4 linked regions of the Alligator mississippiensis genome follow. The protein of the gene in region 2 interacts with the protein of the main gene of each other region in a pairwise test. Links are inferred from orthologs where the notes say so. Each region holds a gene or a part of one and is shown on either strand. Other genes may lie near its edges. The genes, in order: ZNF750, CTBP2, BAZ2B and TSHZ3.

Region 1 (7,431 bases), on a different chromosome or scaffold from region 2:
ACAAAGACTGTACAGATAATCTACCCAGATGTCTCTCCAAAAACCAGGAATTAGAAATGGTAAGGTTCAATGTTTTGGGGCACAATAAGACTGATTCAAATAAAACTGCACTATTCTGGGTTTGGTCTTAGGTAATGTAATTCAACCATGCTGATATGGACACTGAACCAGTGAATACTAATCTGCATCTCAAGAGTCTGCAGATATAAGAAAACAGAGTCCTAGACATGAAGCTTTGAGCTAGCAGGGTAAGATATTCAACTAAAACAGAGACTGATCCAATATTAAAATACAGCCAGTTTGACTGATTTTTTTTTAAAGCTGACAACCTTAGCAGAGGCAGAACCAAAAATTATTTAACAGTTGATTTGTTAGGTCCAGAGCAAACTGAGTTGTGAAACTCCTCCTTAAACAGTGCTATAAGGAAGCTAGTAAAGCCAGCAATTACCATAGGGAGAGAACTGCCCAAAGAGATGCAAGACCTTGGGGTAGGGTTATAAAATGGAAGCAATCCAGAAAGGTGAAAAACATAATGTTCAACTCTTTGCTGTGTCAACTTCCTTAGATTTTTTTTTAATGAAGGCAGCCCAAAGTTTTTTCACATAAAAACATAGGAAGGGAAAGTGATGTTTCTCAAATTAGCTACAAAGGGCTAAATTAAAAAACATAATCATTAGCTACCTAATCTTATGCACAGAGAAAACACCAACACCAGGAAACATAGACACCTCAAAGAAAGGTTAATTACTATAAACTATCAATGAACCCCAATTACCTCCATTAAATACCTATTTAACATTGTTAAGTCTGTTCTAAATTCCATTTCAGATTAACTGAAATAATTTTCTCTGTACCCTAAAAAGGGAAAGGACTTGGAGCTATAATTCCATCTTTCTGCAGAAAGAAAAGACATTAAAATCATAATAAAACAACTCAGTAATAAACAGCGTTATATTAATTCTGGAGATCGTTTCATTTTAATAGACTCTTGTGCTCACCCACATTTAAAGGATGTCAAACTGTATTAGATTTACCTAATAATATTAGATGCAAGTATGATGAATTAATAGAAAATAGATATTGATTACTAGCTTTTACTAGGTCTTAGTATACAGGAGCTATCCTATGCCATCAGTTCTACTAGGGAATCTATCCCATGAGTTAGTATTTCAGGTTTTTATATAATTCAACCAAACCCATAATGCCTCCATAGTTTGCTAAGCTTTCCCCTTCTGCAGCTCTACTTCAGCCATAGCTGAATTGGCCAATCTGCTTAATAAGAGACACTTCCAGGGCATGGCTACTATTTAATAAGCACCATATTATACCTAGACCCAGGCAGCAAGAGGAACTACTTTACTGCCTGCCTTAGACTCAGTCAAGAGACGAAAGTAAAATAAAACAACAGATCTTAAAATGAATTGCCCTTCTGTCTCAACTCAGTAAATGCCCCCTGTATTAACAACCCTTTCAAGAACTTCTGAAATATCCCAAGGACAATTTTATCTGATCCTAAACAAGGAAATCTATGACAGTTTCTCAAGAATCAAACAGGCAGCTTTCTGTTAATGGAATGAAAAGGGGGAAAAAAACATAAAATGGTGTCCTCCATAACCTGGAGAAGGGATAGAAGCAACAAACTAGAATGCACACTTTCAAGAAACAAAGTTAAGTACATTATTCATATCTGATTTCACTGTAACTATCTTGAAAGAATGGATTAGGAATATTACATAGTTGGTAACCCAAAAGATTATCTTCCAAAACTGTACACAACCGAGGAGGAAGCTGGAGGAGTATAAATATCCTCTATGACCTTCAGAGAAAGGATAAGGAATATTGCATAGCTGGTAATCCAAAAGATTATCTTCCAAAATTTTACACAACTGAGGAGGAAACTGGAGGAGTATAAATACCCTCTATGACCTTTGGCTCAAGGAAGATCTCAACAGTAACAAGGCACTGGTTCTCTGTTCCCAACTGATAAACTGCAAACAGGAAAACTTTGAAAACAAACACAAGCACACACTTTTCCTAACATAAGCTCTCCAAATAAGAAATTGTCTAATCTCTAATTGTCACAGAGATGTCATGCAACTGCAAAAGGAAAAGGAGGTGGTGCATGCAAATGTGAATAGAAAATAGAGACATCTACACATAAACACATCTATTAAGATGCATATGCAGCCCTAAAAAATGGTGAAATTCCCGACTTTTAAATAACCTTTTCTTGGGGCCTAATGTTTCACATCACATCGCTACCTCAAATAGGCTGGACTCTATCCCTTTTCTAAGCAAAATAATCACACAAGGGATCATACCTTTATATACAGTATTAAATCATATTTTTATGTGGTTTTATATTACATACAAAATACTGTTAGTTGTTGTTCCTTAAATGATTTCCTTATGTTGCAGTACCACCCAAGGACTAAATAAGAGTCAGCAACTGATTGTGTCAGATGTAGCAGCAAAAAGGAAGTCCATCCCTGGGCAAAAGACATTACAGCATAAAGTAAAATTAAATTCTCCCCTTTGTTTTTCATGTTGTTACCTTTACTATTTTGAAACATAGGGAGCATATCCCCTATAGTCATAAGGCATTCTGAATGCATTCTTTGTTATTCAGTAGCAAGAAAGAGAAGTCTACCTACACAGAAGAGTCTAGAAAAACACATAAAAAACTTTTTTTAGGTCAATACACTCAATATATTTTCTGCAAATGTACATCATTTGATTCTGGCAAAAGATTACTTACTAACAGTATCAGAAATTGAACCCCTGTATTTATTCCCATTTAGTACAACAAATTCAGTTTTATTGCATGGATAACCCAAAATGACGTGCTGAGAAGTTTCAAACTTGCTTTGTGAAGGATTACCTGTAGGTATAAGAGTCGTCTGAAGTCTGCTATCATCCAGTCTTGTGCCTCTACTCAGAATTCATGCAGCGAGAAGCTTCTACCACATCCTCCTTATACCTGGCCCGCTATAACTTTTTCCCTTACTTAAAGATGACTTGTACCTTTATTCCATATGGATCATTTCCAATTTAATCCATAGGAGATTTCAATTCAGATTGCTAGCTCACCTGGACTCAGAATTTAGACAACAAATGAAGGACCAACATAGTTGCTGGTGTAGAGGCATATTCCCAGAGTCCTGCCTGCATATGCTAGTGTTTAATATGGACTGCAGACTAAGAAATAGCACATACAGAACTAATTTGTCTCCATATTCCTATTGTAGAGATCTGAAATAATAGCACTCTTGACAGAGGGATATCTGGACAACAGATCACAATACTCAAATTCATTCAGAAACCTACACTGTGGCTTTTGACACAATACATCCACTATTCTCATCCCAAAATAAACTCTCAAAAATCAACAACCATGATGCTAGGGCGGGAGGAAAGACTGACACAAAATATTAGTATCCAGCCTGAAACTAAGTGGTTAAAATCAACATTTTTTAACATAATTCACATACAAAACCAAAATGCATAGAGAAAGCTCTTTCACTTTTCTTTTTACAAATAGATTCCACCTATATCCAGCTCTTATTCTCCTAAACCTCCGTTCTGACTGAAAAACTTATAAGTTTAATTGAGGAACTTATTTCAGAGAAAATAAGAGGCATAATAACGTTTTTAAAAGGGGATAAGTCATACAAGAATTTTATTTCCTTATTTAATAGTGTTGCAAAGAAAACTTTTAGATGTCTAGTTTAAATCTGGAGAATGCAGTAATACATTTGTCATATTTATAAAATCTAACTAAAAGCAGATAACCAAGAGGAGGTAATCTGTTTGCTCAACAGTTGTCAGGCTGGCCTGCAGAGGAGAGAAAGTGTGAATGCAATAATCAATTTCCTGCTGAGGTGACTCCTTTTCATTTACAGTATCCGTGCATTTGGCTGTTGATTATAGGCAAGCTTTGGCAGGTTCCTGTAGCAAGCAGGCTTGAAGTTAGTTCTGTCCCGCCTCAGCCAGAGTGGAGACTCGTGAAGGACAAAAAAAGATCTCAGTAGAAGTGAAGACAAAAAATAAGCAAGCATGTTAAATAGCAAAGGCATTCAGGCAAGACTATGGATTTTATAAAATTAAACACAAGTAAAATATTGCTGGATTTGTTGTAGTTTGCTCCACTATACATGTAATTTCTCCTACTGTTTACAAGCCACTTAAGTCATTAGGATGTGTCCCACTTAAAACTGATTTAAAACATCTTCAGCAAAACACATCTGTCACAATGTTCTACCCAGCTTAAACAGGAGACTACTACTACTCAGTAGCACAAACATGACAGTGCAGGAACAGAGAAACTTGCTTGTTGGAGGGCATAAAAGTGACAAGAGTTTTGTCTGATAGCTCAGATGCTGCTGAATCAAAGCGGTGGATGCAAACAAATGAATCGTAGCTTCAGGCTGGAGTAATATCAGGTGCATCTCTACACCCTGAGGGCTCAACTCCTACACTTTTTTAAATCCCTCCCACTGAAACAGCCTCCTTCAGTTTCACTTAGAAATCAAGCAGAGAACAGGTACTTCTCTCTCAGCACTGACAGCTACAGCTTAGCCACAGGGATCACCTTCAACATTTCATCCATCTATTTAACTAGTAAGTACTTTTTTTTTTAATAAAAGTAATTTAAGAATGATAGTAATGAAACTGACATCTAAAAAGTAATCAAATGTATTCGCTCATCAGCAGCTAGCACTTTTTTTTTTTTTTTAACTAACTCCAGTGTGTAGGGTAACTACTTCTAGCAGGTGAACTTATCGTAGAGTTAAGGCTTCTGTCAGAAAGCTCCAACAAGACAAACTGATACTTTATGAGAAAGAGAATAAATATCTTTCTCCCTCTTTCACCTGCCATCCCCACCCAGCTTCCCTCCTGAGACTAACTTTTCACATTGTGTTAACTTTTCTGATAAAAATATGTTAAGCAGCTGTTCAAACCAGTTGTTAACATCTTACCTCCACTATAATGTAAAACAGCACAAAAAATCATGAGCATTAGATACATTGTGCAAGTTATAGTTACTAAATAATACCCTGCTGACTTTCTCTCAAAATGTAACACTTGATTAATCTAAAAATGTATACAAAATAATAAATTAGGCAACTGTTGTATATTTTCTCCCTTTCAGCACATAAGCTCAGTAAGGTATTAGAAATTGCAACCGTTTGTAATCAATCACTGATATAACTTAAAATGCATTGACTTTACATACAAAATGGAATAATCTTCATTTTAAACATGCATCTCTGACTTATAGAAAGATTAATGATATAAGATTAGCTTTGTCTTTGATCCATTAACATTTTAAAGTTGTTAGAAATGTCAATTAAATTTGTTTTCTACAAAGTTTGGTTACTAACTTGTACTACTAAGCTGAGTTATTTGTGCAACTGTGATTCTTTTTTCTCCACCCTCCACCCAATATCTCTTATCTCATTCTAACTCTCATCCCACCCTCTTGCCCATGTTTTCTATCAGTCTTTGAATAGTTTTGCTAAAAATTATTTTTAAGTTTAAAACCCCTGAAAGTTTAAGAGGGAGTGGTAGTTAATCACTGGAAAATCTTAACTGGAATAAAACTCACAAATCTTGTTCTTGCAACACACCTGTTAGGTGACAATGGCATGTCCTTGAGTTATGCAATAATGCCACATCACAATATTTTAATTACAGCGTGCCCTTCAAAATGTTCCACCCCAATAAGTACTCCTGCTCAGAGAAATCAACATCACCATAAGGAATACTGCAACAATAACAAAGCCTGCACAACACTTGCACAGTCTGTCATAGCAATGCCCTATAAAGAGAGATTATAATTATCACCCATGTTTGTAATAAAAGAAATTCTGAAACTACCACTTTAGTAGATAAGACTTCTTAAAAAAAATCTAGATTACTCTGAACTTTAACTAACACATGCAAATTTACAGTATTCTTAATTTAAGGACTGGCTAACATACTACAAAAAGAAAGGTCTGGCAACAGTTTTGCATGTTTATAAATGAGACGAAGAAAACCTGTGGCCAACCGAAACTATGCACATTCAGGCTAAAGCGGGGGAGGGCAGTTATGCAAAAAAGACAGCCTAATACAATACAGCAAGACAAAGGTAGACAAGCAGTACACAAACAGCTAAGAGCGCTTCTGTTCTATTTAACCAACAGTAACTGAATATCCTATTTTCAAGTAAAACATTAGTACAGTTGGAAGCCAGGAAAGGGCATTTAGGATATTTATAAAATAAGTATAATTATCTGAATATTTAAAATCAAACAGTCAAAGTACAAATGAAATGAAGTGTAAAATACTTAAGTATTTAACGTTATAACATTGTTATGGAAGATTATAATGATTTTCAGATAATATACCATCATATTATTCAGGATTTTAAAAGGAAGACGATTTTTTTTCACTCATGAAAACTTCAGAACCATTAGTGTTAACAGTTTAGCTTTTACTTTCTCAGCAACAGCCATATATAGTACAACCATAAAGAAATTAATGCTTCCTATATATATGGTGTTTTTATTGTTTTTTAAGAGCTTGCAACTATTTTTTTAAACCATCTCCTGTTATTCCTAATGGTATTTGTGTGATCAAATAATTAAATTTTGATGTAAATACGTATCTGTAGATACTGTTATGTTTTTCTTGGAGACTGGAACTGAAATTTTGTCTTTCCTGGACTAGAAGCATGTTATTACTGGTATTTTCAGCCAATGGGATGAAGGTCAGTTAGAACAACTCGGGGGTGCACAACCAACAAAGAAGAGGGGATAGGATAATTGAGCTGGTAGATACTAGCTCAAAATTAAGAGAGGTAAACAGCTCAGGTAATGATCTGCTTATTCTTTGCCTATGAAATAAGGACAGCTGCTTCAGTTTGCACTGCTGCCTGTAGTTTTGATGAGTAAGAATAGCATTTAGGTAAAATTAAAAAACTTTAAAAAAATCTTGTAAAACTTTTTTAGCTGTCTTTCCTTAATAAACACAAAGCAAAGAAATTAATTCACCACTCCTATTACACAAGTGCTTAGCTTTCAAAGTGCAAAAATCCATTTGTATGTTCAAAATATCATAGTTCAAAATATTATTTCAATTATTTCTTTTTAACAGCATGGAGGAAGATGCACACAGGATCTTATACTATTAAGCAAAGAGACTCTATAAAAAAATAAAAATAACTAACATTATTTATAATAAAATATGGCATCTTAGAACACATTGAATAGCTTATTTTGACAACAGTCTCTCTTCCAACACAATTAGTGCCTGTACTCTCAAGAAAGCTCAAAGAAGAACTAGTACAAACTGACTTAACCAAGTCTATTACAAGCCCCCAACTTTAGTTATACATCATTAGTCAAAAATCAAATACAGTAAACTTATTACAGACAAAACAAGGGC
Region 2 (7,926 bases):
GTGGGATGTCATTCTATGTGAGGTATCCTATTCAGCTGAACCTCATGGATTCTAAATAGCATATGCCATAAAGAAAACTGGCTTTAAAAGCTTTGAGGTTTGATTGTAAAAGGGAAAAATGGGATTTTTTACTCTATAGAGCTTTGCAATAACCCTGCTCTCTGTACTAACAAACTACGTAATTCCTAAATTCTTTGTCCAAAAAAAAAAAAAAAAGTATTGTGCTCTTATTTCAAACCATGTACATATTTTCCCTTCTCACTAGATGAACTATACTTATTCAGTTTTAGGAATGATTTGGATCCTAAATTTTAAAAGTAAGATTGTATACTCAGTGATGATAAAAGGAAGTAAAATCAACCAAGTAACTGAGTGCACTTTTTTTTTGTTTTTTTTTTTTACTGCCTTATACATACATCTGTGTTGGCTAAGCCCCCACCTCACTAATGACTAACAGGTGTGTTTTTGCAAAAGCTTTCAAAAATAAAAACCTCCTTTCTAAAAAATACTGTCCGGCACTAACAATACCAGGTCTTCACTGAAAATTTCAAATATTAATAGGCTGTTCTATATTAGCATTTATATTCACTTCAAAACTGTTCTTCTGGTAAGTTTGGTAATACCAAATAAAAATCCAGCTTTTAAAACCAGAATACTGTGTATGACCACCCATTATTTGGCCAACCCAGTGAAGACTAAAGACAAATCAGCTTTATGATACTAAAAGATTACAACACACACACTCATGACATTATTACAAATAAAATTTTTACTGGCGTATGCGTAATTGAAATGTCTCTGATACAACAATCACCTCTGCATTCATAAACGCCTCATAGTATTCTGAACACACACTGCTATAATGAGACTGTCTTCAATTTTGCTTGTTAAAAGGACCTTTAAAGAATGCTAAAGCAGGTCATCACCTTTATGTGAAGAAAACAGTAACAAAAATATTCTGTCGCTGGATATACTGTCTGTCATGTATTTTATTCACTGTCCTTAAATAAACTAAGCTCTAAATATCTGCAATAACCACACTTTTATACCTACTGGTAAACTGCCCCTTTTCGAGAAATAAGTGGTCACTAAAACTAATCGGCAGTAGACATCCTTTATTCTACTGAAAGGTAATTAACCATTACCAAAAATATATGATTAGCAGGTATACAATATCAATCAATGCATTACAGAACTGTAAATGCTTATTTCTTTTGTTTGGTCACGTTATACTTGATCAAGTGTGAATGATTAAAGTGGTTTAATTGGGGCTACATGCATTCATTGGTGGCATGCACCTTCAATGGCAATTATAAGCACATTTGAAAGAAGTGACTTTTCCTGTATTACTTTGAAATCTTCATCTCCTTACACTTTCCTCCTTTACATAATAAAGAGAACACCTCAGCATCAGGCAGGGTATCAAACATTAAGCCACAGCCAGGGTTTACCTTAGGAGTGCAATCTTGATTGAAAGACAAAAGACTACTCCACACGCAGTTAGTTCTTGTTAAAAGAATAAGCTCTTTCAGACCAAATTATACCGCGTAACGAGCTTTAAACCAACACGCTTTAGCGCTGCCACTCTGAAAATGCTCAGAGAAACGTAATTTTGCTTTTGTTGGTGTGATGGGAACAAATACGAAAGTCCAGAGCATGCAAGTAACAATTCTGCATCCTGCAAGGGGGTGGGCAAAACAATAATAGCTGGAAGAGTATTTTACAGCACAGAGATGCGAATCAATGAAGGGAGAGATTTAGTTGCAGCCACCACACACGAGGGGGGGGAAGAAAAATACCCCCCCAAACCAGGAGTTAAGGTGATTCCACCAGCAGGTAAATCTTCCTGTGCAGCGGGACAAGGGGGATTGCTCTCTTGGAAATCAGCAGTGGAAAACAGCCGCTCAACTTTGCTAAACACGGGCTTAGTGAAAAAGCACTAGATTTCTCTTCCAACACAGCCTGGAGGAGATGCCTGGGGAGGGTGCGGGGTGCTGTCACACACAAATCTCTACTGTAGCCAGAGGAGTTGCTAAGTGACTGGCTGCATCTTCATTTTTTTTTTTTTTTTTTTTTGCAGGGCCTGTGTATCCATGAGGGGCGACTCGTGGCCCTGGGCTGCATTTCCAGCCCCCCTCCCTCAGCACTGCGAAGGGGGAGGGCGGCCGGCACGGCCTGCACCGCGGAGCTGCCAGCGCCTGCCTTCCCGGACACGCCTGCCCTGGGAGGGAGCCTCCCCCTGGCCGCTCGGCCAGCGCCGCCGGCCCCTCCGCGCCCAGCGCTGAGGAATAATGCGAGCACAACAACTCTGCCCATTGTTCGCGCCAGGACGGCTCCCAACTTTCCCATTGTTGCTGCAAGTGCGGCGGGAAGTGCCGCGGACGGGAGCAAACCCCGGGGCGAGGGAGGGAAGATGGGATGGGATGGGAAGGAGAGAAGCCGCCCCTTCCCCTTCGCCTTCCCCCTGCCTCCTCCCGGCCGAGACTTTGGCAGCCCGCGCTAATCCTCCGGCAGATGCTGCCCCTCGCCCAGCCAACAATGCGCGCCCGGCACAACAAAAGGCTCCCGCTCCCCTCGGCCCGGGGGCAGCTGCAAACTTCTCCCGCCTCCCGCCGAACAAAAAGCCAAGGGGGAGGCGGCCAAAGATGTCCTCGGATTATTTGTGGCCCCCCCCGCAACCCCGGCCCCCCAAGCCCCGCAGCCGCAGCGCCGCAGCCGCAGCCCTACCTCGTGCTCGGATCCGCGGGCAGCGCCGGCCCCGCGCTCAGCGCTGCATCGCCCCGCGGGGCTCCGGCTGCCGGAGATCCACCTTAAAATGACACACACGCACCGCACAAAAACTTAATCCCCCCCTTTGCCTCCTCCTCCGCCTCCGCCTCCTCCCGCCCCGGGGAAGGCGCTGGGCGGGCGGCAGGAGGAGGATGCTGCCGCTGCCAATTGCAACTTGGAGCTGCAGGGTGGGGGAGAAAACGAGCGGGGGGCAGCGCTCGCCTCGCCTCGCCTCTCCTCTCCTCTCCTCCCCGCTCGCTCCCTTCTTCTTCTTCTTCTTCTTCTCCTTTTTTTTTTTTTTTTTTTTGGCAAGAGGCGGGGTCTCCTCCTTGCAAACCAATGACACAAACCCACATGCACCGGCCTCGCCCCCTACAGATACTCCTCACTACAAATAGGCTCTCTCCGGGGATTAGTGGATCAGCTAAAGTACAAACAGACGCAGCAAGGAAGAAAGAGGAGGGGAGGAAGGAGGAAGGGAGAGGAAGGGGGCTCCCCTGCCCTCCCACCTCCGCCACTGGCACATCAAGTTGGAAACTGCAAGGGAGTGGGCGATGCCGCCCTCCCCACGCCCCTGGTGTGCCCGCTCCCCTGCCCTGGCCCTTTGCGGCCTGCAGCGGACATGGCCAGGCTCTTCATCCCTGGGAGACCGAGGGCCTGGCAGGCAGCCCCCTGGAGCAGAAGCCTCTGCGCTCCCTGCAAAGGGGGATTCGGGGGCACGTTCAGCTGCATTCGGTTATTGCTTCTTGGCCTCTTGAAGGCTCAGATCAAGCATAGCAGTTGCTTAACCTGGCAGGGGAAATAATACTCTGTGTGTGTGTGTGTGTCCAAGAAGGCAGTTTTCCTGAACCCCCTGGCAGCAGAGCTGCTCTCCTGGCATGGTTCGGTACCAGTTTATGGAGATGGGAGTCTCCTCCCTTACTTGTTCCTAGGGCAAGCAAAAGTCAGGGGCATCCGAACCCCAAGCCTGCAAGTAGGATGCCTGCCAAAGGTTTCGGAAACATCTAAAACCCCAGGTGCGGGTGGAGGATGTTTGCAGGTAGCAGTGCCACTTATGGTTTTGGATTTGGAATTAGTTTTGGCTAATTTGGCCTCAGATGCAAATTATATTAAAAAAAATTGACTTTGACCAATTGTAGCCACTCCACTGAGGCATAAGTGTGGCCTGGCACTGGGCCACTGTGGTGGGATACTGGGGTGCTGAGGCAGCCCATGTGTGTTGGTTGCATGCACCTCAGCAGTGACCCCAGGGAAGCTGGTGAAGGGTGCAAGGCCTAAGACACAGCAGGAGCACCACAACCAGGTGTGCATTGTCACAACAGCCGTGCAGGACTCACCACTGGTTTTGTCAGCATCGCAGTGAAATATGTGCCTGACGGTACATGAAGCTGTAACGGGCTTCTCATGCTTGTTTTAAGATATTAGTCTGCAAAATACACGTAAGGTTTTCCGTAATGAGCACTGCAGCCAGCACTGCTCAGGTCTAGGCCATGCGCGTGAAGTCCATGTTACCCCTGGAAACCCCTCAGAGTCATCAATGTTTCTTTCCACCTAAGATCATTTGAGTGTGTCACACATTTGTTGCTCCATACAGAGCAGATGTAATTTGAAATTGATGGGGGGGCACTTAGGATAAAGGCCACCAGACATGCTGAGCCCCTTCTGTTGACATCTTAAATAGAAAGGGGTTGGCGCATGCACGCCCACTGAGCACCAAATTTGATATGAATATCATATAATCACGTTGTGGTTTTTGGCTGAATGGGAGATAACAAAAACACTCAAACAGGCATTTAGTTGTATTCTGCGTTACACCTTATATTTTGGGGAATTAAGGTTTTGACAGACATTCATCATTTGCTTATCACAAGGATGTGGGCAGGTGGTGATCTTATCTTTTTGTTATATAACTGCTGGGCTTTCCATATCATATGTAATCCAATCATATAGAATTTCAATCCTAGTGGAAAAAACAGATTCCTTTTCTAGTCAAATAAAAACCTTGAACCAGACCATTTATCCATCGAAATTCATAAGGATACTTTGATTTTCATCTCAGGAATTACAAGGTAAACGTATAAAATGCTTCTCATCAGTAAACTGTAGGTTCTTTTTAGGTTTCAACATCGTACCCATTACCAGGATTCAAACCACCTGATGCTGAGAACCAAGACCTCATTCCTGCGACCACTTGAATGTGTTACTAACCCTAGTTCAGCAGAATTACCCATGGTGTTAAGCATTTGGAGGGTCAAGGTCCATGTTTGTATGCAAATGACAGTTTACTCACTTGGGAGTAGTAGTTTATTTACAGCTTTCACAAAAATGCTACAAGGAATCTCATAGGTATATTTGCACTATTTTTACAAAGAATAATAACTAAAATCAAATACAATTCCCTGTTTCTAATTTTTTATTCCACTATTTTATATTGCATAATTTTATTTCTTTTATGTATCATCATATATCATGTTCAGTTTTACTTGTGTTTAAATTAGTAGGAAGTATGATTTTATTGCATGCTTTTACCAATTGCAACAAATCGTGTAATTTTATTATTATATCATTTTGTTGTTAATTCTATTGTTATTTTAGTGAAAGCTGGAAATAAACTACTGCTGTTGGCAGTTATGAAAAGAATTGGGAAATCATGCCATGAGCCAAAGATTCAAAATTACACTGGCTCCAACTACATGCCTCAGGACAGATTTTAGCAAAATACAACTTCTGACCCAGTTCCCTGCCTTAGACGTTTTGCTCTGGGAAAGTTCCATGAAGAGAAAGCTCTAGCACTCTAGAACAGTATTTTATAGTGACCATCAAATACATCTCAGGTCTTTTCACTGTTAATAATTCTGCTGGCAATCAAAAATATTAAGGGTAGATCATCAGCTAGCGTAAACTGTCCCACAATGGTGCTATGACAGCTTACACCAGCTGAGCATCTGCCTGCTGTATTTTAACAATTTTTTTTCAACCATACTCACCATCTTGTTTTGCTTTCTCTCACTGCTAATTCATGTGTGTTTGTATTCGTTTGCACAAAACCATCCATGCAATCTATGGTGCTGCAGGAATCAACAATAATATAATTCAGAATAAATAATGTTGAGTTTATGAAATAAATGTGGTTGGTAACATATGCTGAGGTCATAAACACAAAATAGTTATTTCACTGGAAGAGCAATTAGATGCCAGGTTGTAAGAAAGAAAGCTCTTATGAAAACACGTATCTTCAAAATTAAGAAGGGAAATATGGGAAACATCAGGTGAAGTCAATTATTTTTTCCACAAATTACTTCTTGTTACTAGTACACATTTTTCAGATTTTCCAAATATGAAAGAATTTTGGGGAAAAAGATATCTGTCCAGATCCAAGAAGAGCTTTATGTTCCTGAAGTGGGATTTATGCAGAATTCAAATGCCTAAGTTCAAGCTGCAGTATTGAAGGCCCCTATTCTGGATGAGCCTAGATACTTGAGGTTTCTTATATTTTTACAGTAAAGTTTCCCAGCTCCCAAGAGTTTTGCATTTGTGCATGCCCAGAATTTCCCCATCTTGACATGACTTTACTGGTCAGCACTTAGCTCATGCCTCAACCTGAACAGAAACCCTGAACCTGAGCAGGCCACCGTCTAAAATTCCCGAGAGGCTCAACCCAGTAGGCATTCCTAGATTAAACCTAGCACATGGCAACAGGATCAGGCTTCTCAAAAAACAGTAGCTGGCTGTTCTGATATTTTATCTAAAAACCCATTTGATGTAAAATAATTGAAACTGGAAAAGTGCCCTAGCCCAGTGGTTCTCAGCCTTTTTAGACTCATGGCACCCCTCATCAAACACACGGCAGCCTTTGGAAAATATCAGTTTTTAGCTCATTGTTTGGAGCCTATGGAAAAATAATAGAGCAATTCTTCTGTTGCAAAGAACTCAGACCATAGCAGCTAAGAAATGCTTTTGACACAATGGATTCCTATTTGAAATCTCTGGGTTTATCTTGGGTATCATGTAGGTTCACACACCTAACAGTACTAACACTACCTGGCACACTGTGGCACCCTTTAAAGGCTTCAAAACATACCTGAAGGCACCTATACACATGCTCGATTAATTGAGTCTGCTGGAGCGTTTTAATCAGGAAGCTCCAGCATGCTGCAGTGTCTCATGCATTCTGCATCCCAGCATTTCAAAATGGCAGGGAGGGCGCTTTAACTAAAGCTTGTTAAAGTGGCTCCCAAGAAGTGTTCAAATTATGGTGGGGCTTGTGGGGAGGAGTGGGGGCTTAGCACCCCTATAAGAGACAGGAGCCCCCTGGTAAGCTTTGAAAATCATAATCTGGGGGGGTCTCTGATTTTATTAGGGCACCATGATGGGCAACCCAATTTTTTTTGTAGACCCCCCCCAAGATTGCAAGTGTAATTCAAACCCTGCTCCCAAGAGCCGTTCTAATTAAAATGCCCCCCACATCCCCTACCCCACCCTAGAGCAGGTGTAAAAATGCCCTGAGTGCTGTATCACCCTCACTGAGAATCATTGCTTTAGCAACATCATCTTCTGTTCTTCCTCCAAGTGTGCTCTAAAAAAATGAACAAGCCCTCAGTTCTTCACAAAAAAACATGTCTATACCCAGAAGAAAGTTCAGCACTGTAGATCCTGAGTGGTCAGCTAGACAGCTCCCTGCAGCCCTGAATAAAGTGCTTGCTGGGCAAGATTTAGGACTTGGTCCTGTCATCCATGTTTGCCCATTGGCCAGCTCAAGATAAGTGGTGCCCCAATCAGCATTTTGGCTGGTTTGGATCCTGTACTGAGATGTCCAGCCTCCCCTTTCATCCCTGCCCCCTGAACAGGAAGACCGTAGACTCCCAAGATGAGGTTCTAAAGTTCCGTTGTGCGATGCACACAGCCATTTTATCTGATCTGGCCCACAGTATTTATGAATTTAAAAAAAAAATCTTACAAAATAAATTCAGGATCAAATGTAGGGTGCAGAATCTGCTAAAATTATTCCAAAGTGTTTGTTTATGCAGGGATCAATTATAAAATGGGAATGTGTCTTTAAAAATGTTAAGAGAAGAAGAAACAAAAGGGCTCCTTTATTCCAGTATAGTGTATAACCCAGATTAGAAGAGTTGTTTTACCAAAAGTATGGTCTTAAAC
Region 3 (7,484 bases), on a different chromosome or scaffold from region 2:
TGGATCTCCTGCCGGGTTTTAATGTGGCTTGGCCCATCCACATAAGGAGATCAAACAAAGTTACACACAATGGTACAGTGTATTACCAGTTAAAACAGCAGTACACAGTGTTACCACTGTTAGAGTTGTAGTAGTTTCAACCAAAGAAACCACATAAAATAAATGTGGACCAAATTTCTGCTAGAGACTAGACTGACACAAGGGCTCACAGGGCTGGACATATAAGCAGAACATGATTTTTCCACAGACTTTTTAGAAAACAGACAGGGTGTTAAGCTCTTGGGGACAGACAGTATCTTGTTGCATTTTTATATAGTGCCTAACTACTGCAAGATACTAGATAATATTGATTTAAATTACATTACAAAATCAAAAGTTTAGCATGTACATAAATAACATAGTTTCATAGTCCTTTATGGCCCTATAGGTGCAGGTGTTACATTTAAATGGACCTAACCATGGGAGATGCCATGCACTGTTGGACTGGGAAGGGCTGTGACAAGAGCAGGTGCTCCTGCCTGCTTTAGGCTTATCAGATTATCTCAATGCAGACAGCAGATCTTCCTGGTCTGGTTCTGCACAAGGCATATGGGGCAGTTGCACCCAATTATACTAGCAGTGGAGGCAGTGAAAGTGGTGTCAGCATCCATGCTGTGGCACCCCCTGAAAGGTTCTCGTGGCACCCAGGGTACTGCAGCATCCACACTGAGAATGACTGATCTTCTGGCAGCACAACTGAGTACTGCATGTTTACTGTGTTAATTGAAGATATCTTTAATAATCTTGGCCACTATGGATGAGATTTATTTTATGCCTTGGAGGCAACTTTTCTAGTGTTTGGTCTTACATGAAAAGTTGGAATCCAGATCTGTTCTGATTCTTTGGAGATTCCTTTTTTGACCCTTGGGTCCTATCTTCCCACTTGGCAAGTTAGGGTGTTTGGCAGCTAGAGAATCACTGTTTGCATCACTCCAACAAAATTTGCTTCAGAGGAGGGGCAGCAACAGATTGATCTCTAGCAATGAAACCAGAATTCCTCAGAGCCAGCAATTCACAATGATCAACAACACATCAATCCAGCTGCAAAGCTATTAATGTTATGCTTTACACTGTATGTAAACTGCATTGTGTTTGTAAAGATTCCCTGGCTTTGTGTCTTTCTAAACTCTTTGATTATAGTGAAAAGTAGATTCTAATTCATCTGACTACTCTAGGGTGACAACATAAAATAGGGGTGTAAAAGCATAAAGCCAGGAATACTTAGACATGTTAAACTGTATAAATAGCACTCAGAGAGTGATAGCATAAGCTCTGCTGTGCCAACAAGTATCTGTGATAAGAATAAACCCTTTAAACCCAGAGTAAATTTTCTGAACACAGAGAGGCTGTACTTTTCAACTGGTTTCCACTGTACTATTATGTTTAAACATAATGTTTTAAAATATAGGTTCCACATTATAATTGAATTAAATATTTAGTATTTTATTAAATCAACCTTTTTTTATTAATGCATGCTTTTCATATTAATGCTTCTATCCCTTTTCTCAGGTATTGCCAGCAATTATCAACATTTCAGAAAGGGTTTTTTGTTGTTGTTGTTTATGATTCTTTACTGAACCTTACTACATGTCAAAATTAAAAAAAAAAATTAGTACTAGACCTATATGCTTTGGAACATCATTGTGCACTCTGGGAATAGGCCAATGCTATCAAAAGTATAGGTCCTGACCTCTGCAGTGAATTGTTGATGAGCAGACTGTTACACCCATGTCCAGCCTCACTGAAATCTTTGTCTTCACCGGAGTGCTATGTGGGTGCAAGGGTCTCCACCGTCAAAGCTCATTGTAGAACTGGGAATGTCTAGGTGTGGGTATAACTTAATTCATGTAAGTAGTTTCATTGAAGCATCTGGCCCTGACCTTTCAAACACTGATGCATGCCCTTATCTTTAAGCATGCAAATAGTCCCAGTTAATTCAATAGGGTTACTCAAAGGTGTAAAGTTACATTTTTGTCTAAGTGTTCACAGTACTGGAGTCTTGGATTGCTGCATTACTGTCTTTTAGTTGTTGTTTCCAATGAAGTTTGTGACCATTTTCAATTTTGCATAAATTTATGATGCAAGTATCTAAAGAATTATTGATGATAAAGTTAATGAGCATGTAGAAAGGCAAAGGGGACTAAAAAAACCCCAGTGTTCTGAGATGCTGTTTTGCTTTTTTCAAATGAACTGAAATTTGGAACCTAAAAAGGATGTTAAGGCTCCTGCATTTTTGTTATTAATGAGTCATACAAGCAAACAAGCAGAAGAAACTAGTCTTATTTTTATTGTATATGTGGTAGAGTTTCAGTTTGCATATATTTTTATTGAGACCTAAAGTTTAAATACTGCCTTGGGAAAACCGGCCAAATTTTTAAGCTATGAACCTTTTTGATTTAATACTTAATCATTTTGAATGCATCAATAGATCCTATAACAACAGCTTCCATTAAGTAAGCAAATTAAAAGAATTTCTAATACTTTTATGAAACTAGTGAAGTGTTTACACTAGTAAAACTTTTTTTCTTGTGACAATTCTTACCACAGGTGAGCTATCACTGCTTTATGAAACACATTTTGCTGTAGAATACAAAGTACTATCTAGTGACCTAATAATCTTTTAAACAGCTAATTAAAGCCAAACTCAGTACTTAGCATTCCAGAACTTTATGAAGTGCCCTGTTTAAATCTTCAACAACAAATAATTCCCAATGGCTCAAACATGAATATTTTGCTAAACTTTATTTGAACAGAAGAAATATGGCATAGAAAGTAAGGTTCTGTATTCAAAATGTTTCAATTCTATGGCTATGGGCACTAGAAAAAGTTGAGATAGCTAACATCACAAAATACCAGTGTTCTGCTTTGTCTTGATGTTTTGGCATACTAAAAATTCTAAGTGAATCATTCTTTGCAGTTGTGCTAATAATAATAGATATTAGGATTTATATCACATGCTAATGGAAGAGATATATTAAATACCTGCATCACAGCAAGTACATTTTATATTGAGTTGTCTAAATCCATTGTTTATTTCCATGTGTTTTAAAATTCTATTATCTCTAGAGTGATAATATTTGTTGTCTTAGAAAATATATGAGTTTTTGATGAATAACATTAGGAGTGAAACATCTCTTTTATTGTATCCAGACTTAAATTCTTATCCCACATTTTTCTTCAAGAACATTATTAGTAAATTTTGAGGTTAGAGAAGTACTGACCCAATCAAACATGTACAGAGCTTGGCCTCTGAGTTAATTAAATATGGGTTAATAACATATTATAAGGAAATCATTGTCCTTATTACAGTTATTAGGTAGTTAGTCAAATTATAGCTTCAAAGGAATGCAGAGCATGGAGAACTCGGGATTAAATTATGCATTTGAACCTTAGGCCAGCTTTTACTGTTGAGACAGTTTGCTACTAAGAGAAATTGTGTGTCATTGAAATTAAATGCTTTTCTGGGGATGGAAGGTTCCAGTTTTTAATGAAATTACTGAGTGTGGTGTAGTGAAATGATTAAAATCTGTATTCCGGGAATGTGGCAGTGAAAAAATCAATAAATGCTAGCAAAGCTTTGCTGCTGGATGTGAATCCTGGGAATGAAATAAACTAGTACAAAAATAATAATTAAAAACATATCAGCACATTAATTTATTTAGCATCAGTCTCTTGAGACATCATCTTCACTAATTTTTAGCATACATTTTACTGTGTAATGAGAGCAGCTTTCTTTTCACATATCCCTATTAGACAGGCAGTATTTTTGCCCTTCCCCCAATGTTCCTGCATTGCAATCATTGTGCTTGCACTTATTATGTTACAAATGACCGAGGTAAGGCTGACATTCTCATTGCATGCAAAAAGACCTAGTCTGCCAAGCTTTTTTTTTTCTAATGAAGCAGCTTTGTGAAATCTCCCCATGTGTTAATACTAATGAAGATCCTCCAGCACAATTAAAATCACAGCCAGTGGCTGAAGAAGAAACACAAAACAATGGCATCTCTCTACATATACATATTTCTTTATGTTTCAAGCAGCTACATTTAGACGTAATTTTGAAATGATTTTTAGAATATCAAATGATTTTCTGTAGTGTTAATTGTGAAGCAGTCAGACACTGTATTTTTTAAATAAGAGATGCTTTATAGGAGACACCACAGTGAAAAGAGTTTTTAATTTCTTTTTCTACCTTCTGTGTGGGATTTTATTATAACTTAAAATCTTTATCTTTATAGTCTGGAGGAAGCAATTCTTTGTTTTTTGTGTACTTTAACCCCGGCCTTGCTTGACTCTTTGCCAGGGGGGGGAAGAGAGAGAGAGAGAGAGAGAGAGAGAGAGAGAGAGAGAGAGAGAGAGAGAGAGCGCGCGAAACCACGTGTGTAGTTTAAAGGGTTAGAGTAGGGAGGTGCAAGTATTTTTGCTGCTCTTCTACAAAAGAATCTATTAACTCAGTTGTTTCAGCCAGGGCAGGAATTTCCAGTAGACAAAATAAAATGCTAATATTTCCAGACATAGCGCAAAGCACTTAAAAAAAACCCAACAACTTTAGCAAATAGTTCTTTTTGAACATATGAATATTTATACACCTTGTATTTTTTATTTTTTTTTCTATTTTGTTGAATTTGTTTCCATTTGCACTGTGTTTCTTTTGCGAGACCTGACCACCGCATCCAGTATGACTTTCTGATGTGTTTGGTCTCTCACTACATGGACTCCTGGTGCTTTGGTAGCAGGCTGCCACTTGCACCCCGAGATCTTCTGGGGATGTAGGAGAGCTACATGGTTCAGTCTCGAGCAGAGCATAAGCCATCGTTCAGGACGTTTCAGGTGCTGTGCCTTCGCCTCCCTGTGTACGTTAGCTGCCTTCAGATCCTCCCGAGCGGATATCAAAATGCGTTGGGCTTTTTAAAACACACCAACTTTTCTGCAACTTTCCCTAGCCCAGAGCCCCTTGCCCGAGCGTGCGTGCACGGGGGGAGCAGGAATGCAGCGCTTCCCCCCGCTTCTTGCAGGGGCTGATAGGTCATTTATTACCGGGGCTGGAGCGAGATAAACAAGCCTCTCTCTTTTTGCCCCTCGTTAACAGCAACTTTCATTGTTGGAGCGAGAAGAGCCTTCTCGGTTGACGTCACTTTTGGTTCGCGAAGCCTTCGCCTGCAAGGGAGGCTGAATAAACCTCGAGGAGAGCAGCAGCTCCGCGCGGGCGCTGCTAGCAGGGGCGAGGGCGAGGGCGAGGGCGAGGCGGCCGCACCCGCACCCCCAGCCCGCCCCGGCGCTTCTCGGAGCGGTGGGCAGCCCGCCCACCCGCACCTGGCAAAGGGCAGCTCTGCCAGCCGCCAAGGTGAGTGGCAGCCGCCCGCGGCGCGCGGGTGGGGGCGCGCCCGCCCACCCCCCCCAGCCCTGTGCCCGGCCCGGCCCGGCCCGGCCGAGGGGTCCCGGCCGCCGCCCCGCTTTGTTGCGCGGGGGTGGGGGGGAGCGGCGCGGCTGCCGCCCTGCCAGGGGCCCCGCTGTAAACTTTATGCATGGCTGCGGGCGGGCGGCGCTGCCTCCGCCGGGGTCGCCGCTTTGTGCGGGCTGAGGGCGGCGGGAAGGTAAGAGGAGCCGGCTCCGCGCCGGCCCGGCCCTTCCTAGGGGATGCAGCCGGCCGGGCCGGGCCGGGGGAGCTGCCCCGAGCTCCGCCGAGCCGAGCAGAGAGGAGCGGGGCGGCGAGGCGAGGCGAGGCGGCTCCCGCCCTGCCGCTCTCCTTTGTGCGCGCCCGGCTCCCTCGCGCAGAGCCAGAAGCGGCTGCAGCCCTTGGCCGAGTTGTTGAAATTTATCCCTTTGTGTATATTACAATATCCTCCATTTTTCTGCCCTCTAAACAACAAGCCTTTCGCCATCTTGGGCAAATTTGGGTGGCCCGGCGCGGCTGTGCTGTGCTGCGCTGCGCTGTGGTGTGCGGGGCGCGGGGCAGCGGCTGCGGGAGCCGCGGGGAAGGCGCAAAGTTGAGGCGGGTCCAGGGCCCGACTGTGACGTCACCTGAAGTTGGAGGGGCATTTTTCCAGGAGCCCGGCGCGGTGCCCAGGGCGGGCTCCCCGGCGCGCGGGGCGGCCGCACTTGACGTGCACAGGTTGGTCGTGGGTCCGACTCCGCCGACTCCGGGGCTGCAAGGAAGGCGCCTCCTCCTCCACTGTGGGGTTTGTTTGGTTTTTTTTTGGTAACAGGTGGAGGAATATCTTTGCGTGACTCTCACTTTTATTCCATTTTTGCGGCCTTTTGCACAGAAATATTAATGTAGCCCTTTAAAAAACCAGAGTTGTGGCACAACATGAACTAGTACATCATGCGGGGATCAGCCATGCTACTATTTACAAGCGGTTACCTGCACCTCTTACTGAAATTTGCACAAGATGTTCAGTCCAGTTTTTTCCCGAAGTAGCGAGTGCCTGGCCTCTGGTTTGGGGGGGGGGGGGCTGGGAAATATGCTTTTTTTTTTTTTTTTTAAGTGCTCATTGCTCAGATATATATTTGCAACAAATAAACTCTTTTAATGTAGTGCTGGCTAAACATTTCCTTTTGGAAAGTACCTGTAGATATTACATGTACTTCAGAGGATATTACAGATGCTGGATTCTGTGGCTAGCAAAATGTAGTTGGCATGCTAAATTGAATTTTTCTTAATACCGATTACCTCTGGCTCTCAGCTCTCGTGTCAGCTGTTGCAAAAAGGGAAACAATAAAAGGTATTGTTCTTTTAAATTACTTCTCAGTGATGCTCTTCATCTCATAGAAGTTCTCTTGGTCACATGGCAAAACTTAGGCAAACCCTGACTACTTGATAAATAATAAGTACCATAAATAGAATGTTATATTTTAATTCCTTTTCCTGCATCAGTTTTACTTTTTACATATTTACAGTCATGCTAACAAGAACATGAAACTGTCTGTGTTTAATTTGCATTCCCTTTGTCTTCAGGGTTGGTAAAAACATTCTTTACAATTAACATAGAGACTAACAGGAACACTTCTAGTACATCAAGATGTTTTTTAGCAAACTCAAAATTGAATGATATATTTAACATATTTTTATGGTTGCATAGAAAGTAGGTTTTTATGTTAATAAATGTCAGCTGCTCACCTTAGCATGTTCTTTAAAAATGCTTTAGAAAGCCTAGCTGAATTAAATGTCTGCCAGTTATGTGAATCTTAGGTAGATGAAAATGTTTAAATAGTTAAAAGCACGTAGAACAGATGGTTCTAAATTATACATGCAACAAAGGCCTGGAAGATTTGGCAGATTATAAATGGTGAGCAACAGAGGATTAGCAGTTTAAGAAAATGGTAGTTAAGTATATTTGATGTCTCGCACCTATTGTAAACCGTGCGCACATTTTTGTCACAATGCTACATGAACAATTTCCAGGCAACATCAAGCAAATTGTATTTGTATTTGAAACCATTTT
Region 4 (6,988 bases), on a different chromosome or scaffold from region 2:
GTAATGTGCGACCCTTCTTAGATGCTTTAATTCGCTGTCCCTAATGACATTCAACTTGTGAAGACCAGGTCAGTTAGGGTTGGTTCTTTTGCCTTTATTTAAAGAATGAAGCAGCCCAAATTAGCCTGGTATTAACAAGGAGGATGTTACTCGGAGTAAATGGAAAACATCCAAAGAGCAAGCAATTTACACCTCGTGTTTGAACCTCCGAAAGCAATCAACCAATAATAACAAATCAATCTCTGCAAGGGACTACACACACGCACATACACCTAGACACACACTTCTGCCCTCTTGATTCCTAATGAAGGAGTGCCCAGCTTTAACACTTTGCTTAAGGGAGGAAAAAGGAAACAGAAATAGCATGTAACATGTTACTTTCTGAAAGTCATTTTCTTCTCCAGCAGCTCTTTTAAGTTTAATGAAGTTGAATATTGATCTCCCTCGTTTATTAGCATAACTAATAGTTTATTTCAATGGGCTTTTTATCGGGTCAGTATGCTACCCCCCCCTTCTTTGATTCCTGTTTAACGGACTTGTTTCTCATACCTCAGTCTTTCCTACAGGAAAATGAAATGATCAGAGAAAATAGGCAGCAAAGAAGGCCATCAAATGAAAACGTCCAGCTATAGCATTCCTAAGAGATGTAAAGTTCAGAAGTGGCGGTTATCTAATTATGGAACTTTTCTTAGAAATAATAGTATCTTTATTAAACCTCCGGAAAGAGCTAGCTTAGGGCTGAGCCTTATGTGCTTGCTGAGTCCTTGTGGTTGTAGCCTGTAGAGTCATCGATTTTATGCATCGTGTTTGTAAGTGTTACACTTAATAAAATTACGGGTTCTGCTCTTCTGTAATAACCTGTGACCCCAAAATAAGCTGACGCACTTTATAGAATCTACATTTTAGGCTGTAATTCGTCTGATAGAAAGTTCAATAGCTGTTTCTTCCTTTAAATCGAGAGAGTTAATATACCAAATTACCCTACAACTTGCTGGCTGTTTTGGCAGTTTGTGCAATGCGTGGGTCTATACACATATGTCGATACGTATGTATCTATTCTCTCTCACATGACTTACTGTTTCTACTTGACCTGGGAAAAGTCCACCGACTACTGTTTCCAAAAAGTTTAGCTTCCAACGTTAAAAAAGGACTGATCTCCAAACGGCCCGTTTTTACTAGATTATTACCCCTCTAATGCCATAAATTGCTATTGGCCCTTCTAAAGAAAGGGTGAACTTGTAAATATTTTAAAACAAACCTCAATATATAGCACTTGCTCTGGTTTTCTTATAAATGTCTCTCTTAAGTGACATCGCTTAGCTTCTGCTGTTGCAGTTTGCTGGCATCTTCCAAACATTTGTGTATTTATGCCTGAGTGAAAGCCGTTCTGTGATCTCTGCTTTGTTAAAATATAGATGTTACTGAATTAATAAATGCATGCATATGTGTAGAGAAGAGTACAACTTGAACAGGAAAAAAAAATGTCAGCACACACATACACCCAGTCAGAGTCTTTAGAGGCGAAGAAAGTAAAAGTAACTGCGATCTTGCAGAACCGCAGTACATAAAAGACATTAACCCTTTTCTCTGCATAAGCTTTTTCGAGTCCTTGATCCATCATCCAGGACCCTCAGCCATGTACCGTGTAGTCAAAGCAATAAGGCTCTATTACATCATGCACATTTTATGCAATGATTGCAATCTGTGAATTTGGTGAAAGATGAACAGAGTTGGGAAATAAGAAACTCCTTGGTACTTGCAGAAAATAGTGATTGGCCACTACAGCCCTTGGTTCAGGGTGCTCTGGTGCCAACTAATAAAGAATCCAAGTATTTTCTGAATTACAGGGTGGATCTTTCACATCTAAAAATAGCATGAAAAGAAAAAAAAACCCTATACTTCTACTTCCTTTTTTAATTTCTTTAGCGTTTTTAATTCATGCTTTAAATGTTGCTAATCTTAATCCCCCCCTCCCCCCAATGAAGTAGTCGGTAGTGCTTCTCTCCAATTCAGGAGTATAGTGCCTGTGAAAGTTTGCTGTAGCCTCTCACGTTGCAAAGCTATGTGAAATACTCCATCCTGTATAGTGTCTGTTGCAGAACTTCATTTGCCTTGGCTTGCAGTCATTTAAAACTGCAGTTTATATATTACTCAATCTCTCTGCTTTATTTGATACAGATTTAGCGGTTTCCCCTGAAGAAATAGAAAATGCATCTGGTCTAAGTGCTTAACACGCTGATCCTGCCCATTCCTGCAGTCCGTCTGCACTGCCTTTGGCAAATCATGTATCCTTTAGGATTATGCTAAATTATTTAGGTTTCCTATTTCCTAATTTTAATATAAAGAGGAAGGGGGAGAAAAAAAGGGAGAATGAGTTATTAATTAAAGCCTAGTCCTCTATGTTTCCCGAGCCTGCCTAACATTTGTAAATACTTATGCCGCGGCTGATCCACTCCTTCCTGGTTAAGTTGTTTAGTATGTTAGTTATTTGTATTGAATCACAGGCTATGTTATGTCTGATGTGTTGTCGTTGCAATGTGCAGTCAGTGTGACACTGATGGATGCGCCAATGGTTAGACGGACAGATGTTAGGGCGGATCTAACGGCATGCAATGCCATAGCAGCAGAGAGAGAGAGAGAGAGGGAGAGGGGGAGTGGGAGAGAGAGGGAGACTGGGCTAAAAACATCCCGATTCAGTGAAAGTCGCTTATTTCTGGTGCAAACAACGCAGTCACACACACATTCACACACACACACACACACACACACGCAAGCACACACACACAGGATTTTGGGGGGAGTGGGGTAACGCTTCAGTGTAGTCTTAAGCAATGTGATCGCTGCTTCTGCGAGCAGAGACTGTAACTGTGAGAAGAAACCAGCAAGTATCAATGAAATGGAAACTGAGCGAATTTGGCAGCAGAAGCGGCATTTGACAACTCACCATGATCTTGTTTTCAAGACATATTTCGTTTTCCCCCAACAGTAGCAATTTCCCGGGGACTTTAGGCGACTGCGATTTTTTTTTTTCATCCTAAAGACCAGCTTTTTTTTTTTTCTCCCAATCAACTCCTAACCACCACCATCACAACAATCTATATCTATATAGATAGATAGATATGTAACTTCTCCACCCTGTCATGAACGTCCTGCAACTTGAAAAGAAAAAGCAAGAGCAAAAAAACAACGTCAAGGCGGCTGCAGGAGACGTGGAGACGCAACAACATCTGCACTGAGTCAGGTATTTGGAATTATCCCAAATCTTGAAGAATGGGGGCGAGTGGAGATTTTTTTTTTTTTGATCTTACCGTCCAAATGAGATCATCCTTTTTTTCCTCCCTGTGAACTTTAAAAAAAAAAGGAAAAGAAAGAAGAAAAAAAAGAAAGAAAAGAGGGGAAATTATTTGCTACTGGTGTTTGCTTCACTTCTCTTAAGTAAAGAAGGCATCTGGGACTTAAGGCGATTGGCTGCGATCTGCTGAAGCTGTCATTACATATCTATCAGCCACACAAAGGACGAGAGGAGGGGGGAGGAGGAGAGGGGGGAAAAAAAGAAAAGAAAAGAAAAGAAAAAGAAAGTGCAAGTGGGAGCCAGGAAGGTGTTTGGCAATCGCTGCTGCTCCATGTTCGTCAAGCACTTGAAACACTGCTCGAGTCCATCCCCTCTTTTTTTTTTCCGCCGCACATTATTGCAGCCCAGGAAGACACAATCAAACTCGCAGCGCATCGATTCGCTAAACCCGGGATTTCACCAATGAACTTGGACCAAAAAAATTAAAAAAAAATAAAAAGTGATCTTCAAAAAAAAAAAAAAAGCAACAAAAAACCCAAACAAACCCCAACAAAAAACAACCACCCAAGAGTTGGTGCGTGCATGGTGCGTGCGGGAATCGCGGCCCCCTGCCAGCGAGCCAGCGCCGCGGGCCGAAGGGATTGGGGCGCCTCGGCGAGGTGAGCGGAGCGGAGCAGAGCGGCCCCGCGGTGCCCGGCGGGGGCGGCCGCGCGGGGCTGGATGTGCGCTCGCGCCTGCCAGCTCCCCCGAAGCCGGGCGCGGCGGTAAGTTGGGCGGGAGGAGGGAGGGGAAGAGAGGAAAGGAAGGAAGGAAGAGGTGGGTTGGGTTGGGTTGGGTTGGGGGGGAGCAACTCCCCTGCGCGGGGAGGAGAGTTTGTTTTTAAATCCTCCTCCTCCTCCTCCTGGCGCCGCGGCCCAGGGCAGCCCCGGGAGGCTCCGGGGGCGGGAGGCAGGGAAGGAGCGGCCGGGCTGCGGCTCCCCCGCCCCGGCCTGGCGTGACGGATGCGCTGTCACCTGGAGCCGCGGCCGCGCACGGGGGCGAGGTGCGGGGCCGGGGCCGGGGCCGGGGCCGGGAAGTTGCAGGGGAGCGGGAGGCGGCGGAGCGCGGTGCCCCTCTCCCTTCCCCGCCGACTAGTTGGAGTGACACTGCGATCGTCTCGTTTCCCTTCAAGCTGTGCCTGTTGCCGCCGCCGCGCCAGCGCCAGCGCCGAGCAGGGAGCCGGAGGCAGAGCGGGAGGAGCGCGGACTGAAGCTGGGCCGGCTCCTGCCGAGACACCCCCCCGCTTTATGCCGTGATCTCCGCGCCCGGCCGGGCACGGGGTGCGGGCGGGGCGGCGGCGCTGCGGGCTCTCCCCAGCCCTCCCGCTCACACACCTCTTCGGGGGGCTCCCCCTCCTCCTTCCTCCGGGCCGATTTGTCAAACTTCCCCCCTCTTCTGCCAGCAGCAGCAGCAGCAGCAGCAGCAGGGCTGTCCTCTCCTCTGTGCCGCCTCCTCCGCCTCCTCCTCCTCCTCCTCCTTCTCGGCATCGCGTATGCCCAGCCACACACCAAATCTCTCCCCAGCCCGAGCCTGGAACAGCTCACCGGATCTGTGGGGCTAGAGCAACTCTTCCCGGCCGCCGCCGCCGCCGCTCAGCATGCCGAGGAGGAAGCAGCAAGCGCCCCGGCGCGCAGCAGGTACGAGAGCCGCCTTCTTCCCTCGGTCTCCTCCGCAGCCGCTTGCCAGCGGGCAGAGCCACTTGGGCTGGCGCTCGGCTCCCGCCCGGCCCGGCCCGCCCCGCTCCCCGGCATCGCACGCTGCCCGCCGCGGATTTTGCGGAGTAACTCTTGGTCTGGCAGACGCAGCACTTTGCCTGGGCGCTTCTCTCCTTCCGGGGGGGAGGGGGGCACCCTAGTCCCTTTCCTACTTCGGTGCCGACTTCCCGGCTCCCCCATTCCCCCCCGGGTCTGGGGACCAAGCTTGTGAAGGGCAGGGATGCGGCTCTCTCTCTCTCTCTCTCTGTGAACAGCGTGTGTAGCTTTTCTATGGGAAGGAAGGAAGCAAGGAAGGGAGATGTGCTGCCCATTTCCACCCCCTACTTTGGCACCTACTTTGCTTTTTCTTTCTCTTATTTGTTATTCAGTCTCCACCTCCTCCTCTCACATCCATGCAGTTTTGTGGAAGCCAGCCATCCTCTTGTTTTCCTTCCTTTCTTTCTTTCTTTCTGCAGGAAAGACCTTGTAGGGATACGTGGGGGGTATTTGTGTGGTGCCAGGGACTGAAGATGTGCATTGTTGCTTTAACATCAAAGCCCAGGCTAGGCTCCTTCCCTCAAGTTTCTCTCTTTCCCCCTCTTCCTCTCGTACTGCGCTGGGGACCTCTCCAGCGCACTTCCACATCCCCCTACTTGGTCACTTTCTTTGGCAACCTCTTGTCCTAATCCCATTGATTTCTCATTTCTGAGCCCAAGCTGAGGAGCTGCACAGGAAACCAAAGCGAAAGAGTCTGTGTGTTGTCAGATGACTGGCAAGTGTCTTTGATGCTGATTTTTACATTCTCCTCCATTTTTAAAGAAATACTTTACTGGGCTTTGTCTGGGCTTTACTCTTGTGTTTGGTTGTGTTTTCCTGATGCCAGAAGTGTCAACTCCTGTTAAACACGAACAGCATTTTCTGGAAAAGCCAAATTGAAAAGCAAAAAGTAAAAGGAAAAAAAAAATGTTACAATAATCTTTACCTGGGGATATGTGGGCTGGAAAAGGGTTTCCTTGGCCTGTTGCCATCCTTGATTTGATGGCTGATTGATCACCTGTCATCTGGCTGCCTTTGATCTATTCATTCCCGATAAACATCAATAAATCACTTGCCATGGTAACGCCAGACTCAGTGACGTCACATGTGGCCTGTCAACTCTCTGTCAGTGCAACTTTAGGGGCTTCTGGCTAGATGTGTGACATGCTGGGAATCACAGGGGCGAGTATTTTGGTGGGAATATTTAGATATGTAGAAATACAGGGCCTGTTTTCATTAGCGTAACAATTTGGGGAACCAGTAAGTGAAGCTTGAAGCATTCATAATTCTCACTTTAGGAGAGACCCATATGCAGTGCATGGATGGATGTGGGAGTTTTCCAAATGGTGTAGTAGTATTTTTAAGCAGTTCATTTAGGAGTGCATACTATAACTTAAATAAGGTAATCCTGCTACTTAACAGAGTATTGCCAAAAGCAGTGCTTTCAAAAAGCTGTGTGTACGTTCTAACAATATGACAAGTTCTCAAAGGGCCATAGTTTGAATTTAGTAAGAAGCAAGTAACACAACGAGTAACCGAATGTAAAGAACTCTGTCCGCATTTCATTCCCCACATCCCTTGATACCTATGTGAGCTGAACACTTTTTTTTTAAATAGAAGAAACCGTATGTTTTGCAGTAGATTGTGTAATCGTCGTCTTCTTCTGATAGTTGGAAAGTTTGCTAAGTTTTTTTTTTTCTTTTTTTTTTTTTGGAAGTGCAGTATTTATAAGATCTAGGAAATGCTACTGTAGCAAAATAATTTGCTTGAGCATTTTGACTTTCTATCCAGTGCCATCAATAAGGACAGTCTTCAAATGTGTTGAAAACTTTTGTCCTTTCAAAATACCTTGTAACAGCTAGGTTGTAACCTTAATTTACTTGCATGAAAATCAAGTTCTGCGAAGTTGAGCATATCCATCAAAAAG

What was found.
Region 1: the proteins of CTBP2 (region 2) and ZNF750 interact in binary tests that used the Homo sapiens proteins (3 or more experiments, as listed by UniProt). The link is inferred for Alligator mississippiensis from reciprocal best matches to the Homo sapiens genes CTBP2 and ZNF750.
Region 3: the proteins of CTBP2 (region 2) and BAZ2B interact in binary tests that used the Homo sapiens proteins (3 or more experiments, as listed by UniProt). The two-hybrid records come from large-scale screens. The link is inferred for Alligator mississippiensis from reciprocal best matches to the Homo sapiens genes CTBP2 and BAZ2B.
Region 4: the proteins of CTBP2 (region 2) and TSHZ3 interact in binary tests that used the Homo sapiens proteins (3 or more experiments, as listed by UniProt). The two-hybrid records come from large-scale screens. The link is inferred for Alligator mississippiensis from reciprocal best matches to the Homo sapiens genes CTBP2 and TSHZ3.

The regions. Positions count from the first base shown.
Region 1 is NC_081831.1:17,148,098-17,155,528, reverse strand, and holds the start of ZNF750 (zinc finger protein 750), read left to right. Parts: upstream 1-4,412; 5' UTR 4,413-4,620; intron 4,621-7,431. UniProt on the Homo sapiens protein: Transcription factor involved in epidermis differentiation. Required for terminal epidermal differentiation: acts downstream of p63/TP63 and activates expression of late epidermal differentiation genes.
Region 2 is NC_081829.1:82,165,136-82,173,061, reverse strand, and holds the start of CTBP2 (C-terminal-binding protein 2), read right to left. Parts: upstream 3,009-7,926; 5' UTR 2,728-3,008; intron 1-2,727. UniProt on the Homo sapiens protein: Corepressor targeting diverse transcription regulators. Functions in brown adipose tissue (BAT) differentiation. Isoform 2 probably acts as a scaffold for specialized synapses.
Region 3 is NC_081827.1:221,309,271-221,316,754, forward strand, and holds the start of BAZ2B (bromodomain adjacent to zinc finger domain protein 2B), read left to right. Parts: upstream 1-4,483; 5' UTR 4,484-5,383; intron 5,384-5,557; exon of another isoform or gene 5,558-5,633; intron 5,634-7,484. UniProt on the Homo sapiens protein: Regulatory subunit of the ATP-dependent BRF-1 and BRF-5 ISWI chromatin remodeling complexes, which form ordered nucleosome arrays on chromatin and facilitate access to DNA during DNA-templated processes such as DNA replication, transcription, and repair.
Region 4 is NC_081833.1:58,808,064-58,815,051, reverse strand, and holds the start of TSHZ3 (teashirt homolog 3), read left to right. Parts: upstream 1-3,970; 5' UTR 3,971-4,056; intron 4,057-4,237; exon of another isoform or gene 4,238-4,334; intron 4,335-4,463; exon of another isoform or gene 4,464-4,733; 5' UTR 4,734-4,928; coding exon of another isoform or gene 4,929-4,968; intron 4,969-6,988. UniProt on the Homo sapiens protein: Transcriptional regulator involved in developmental processes. Functions in association with APBB1, SET and HDAC factors as a transcriptional repressor, that inhibits the expression of CASP4.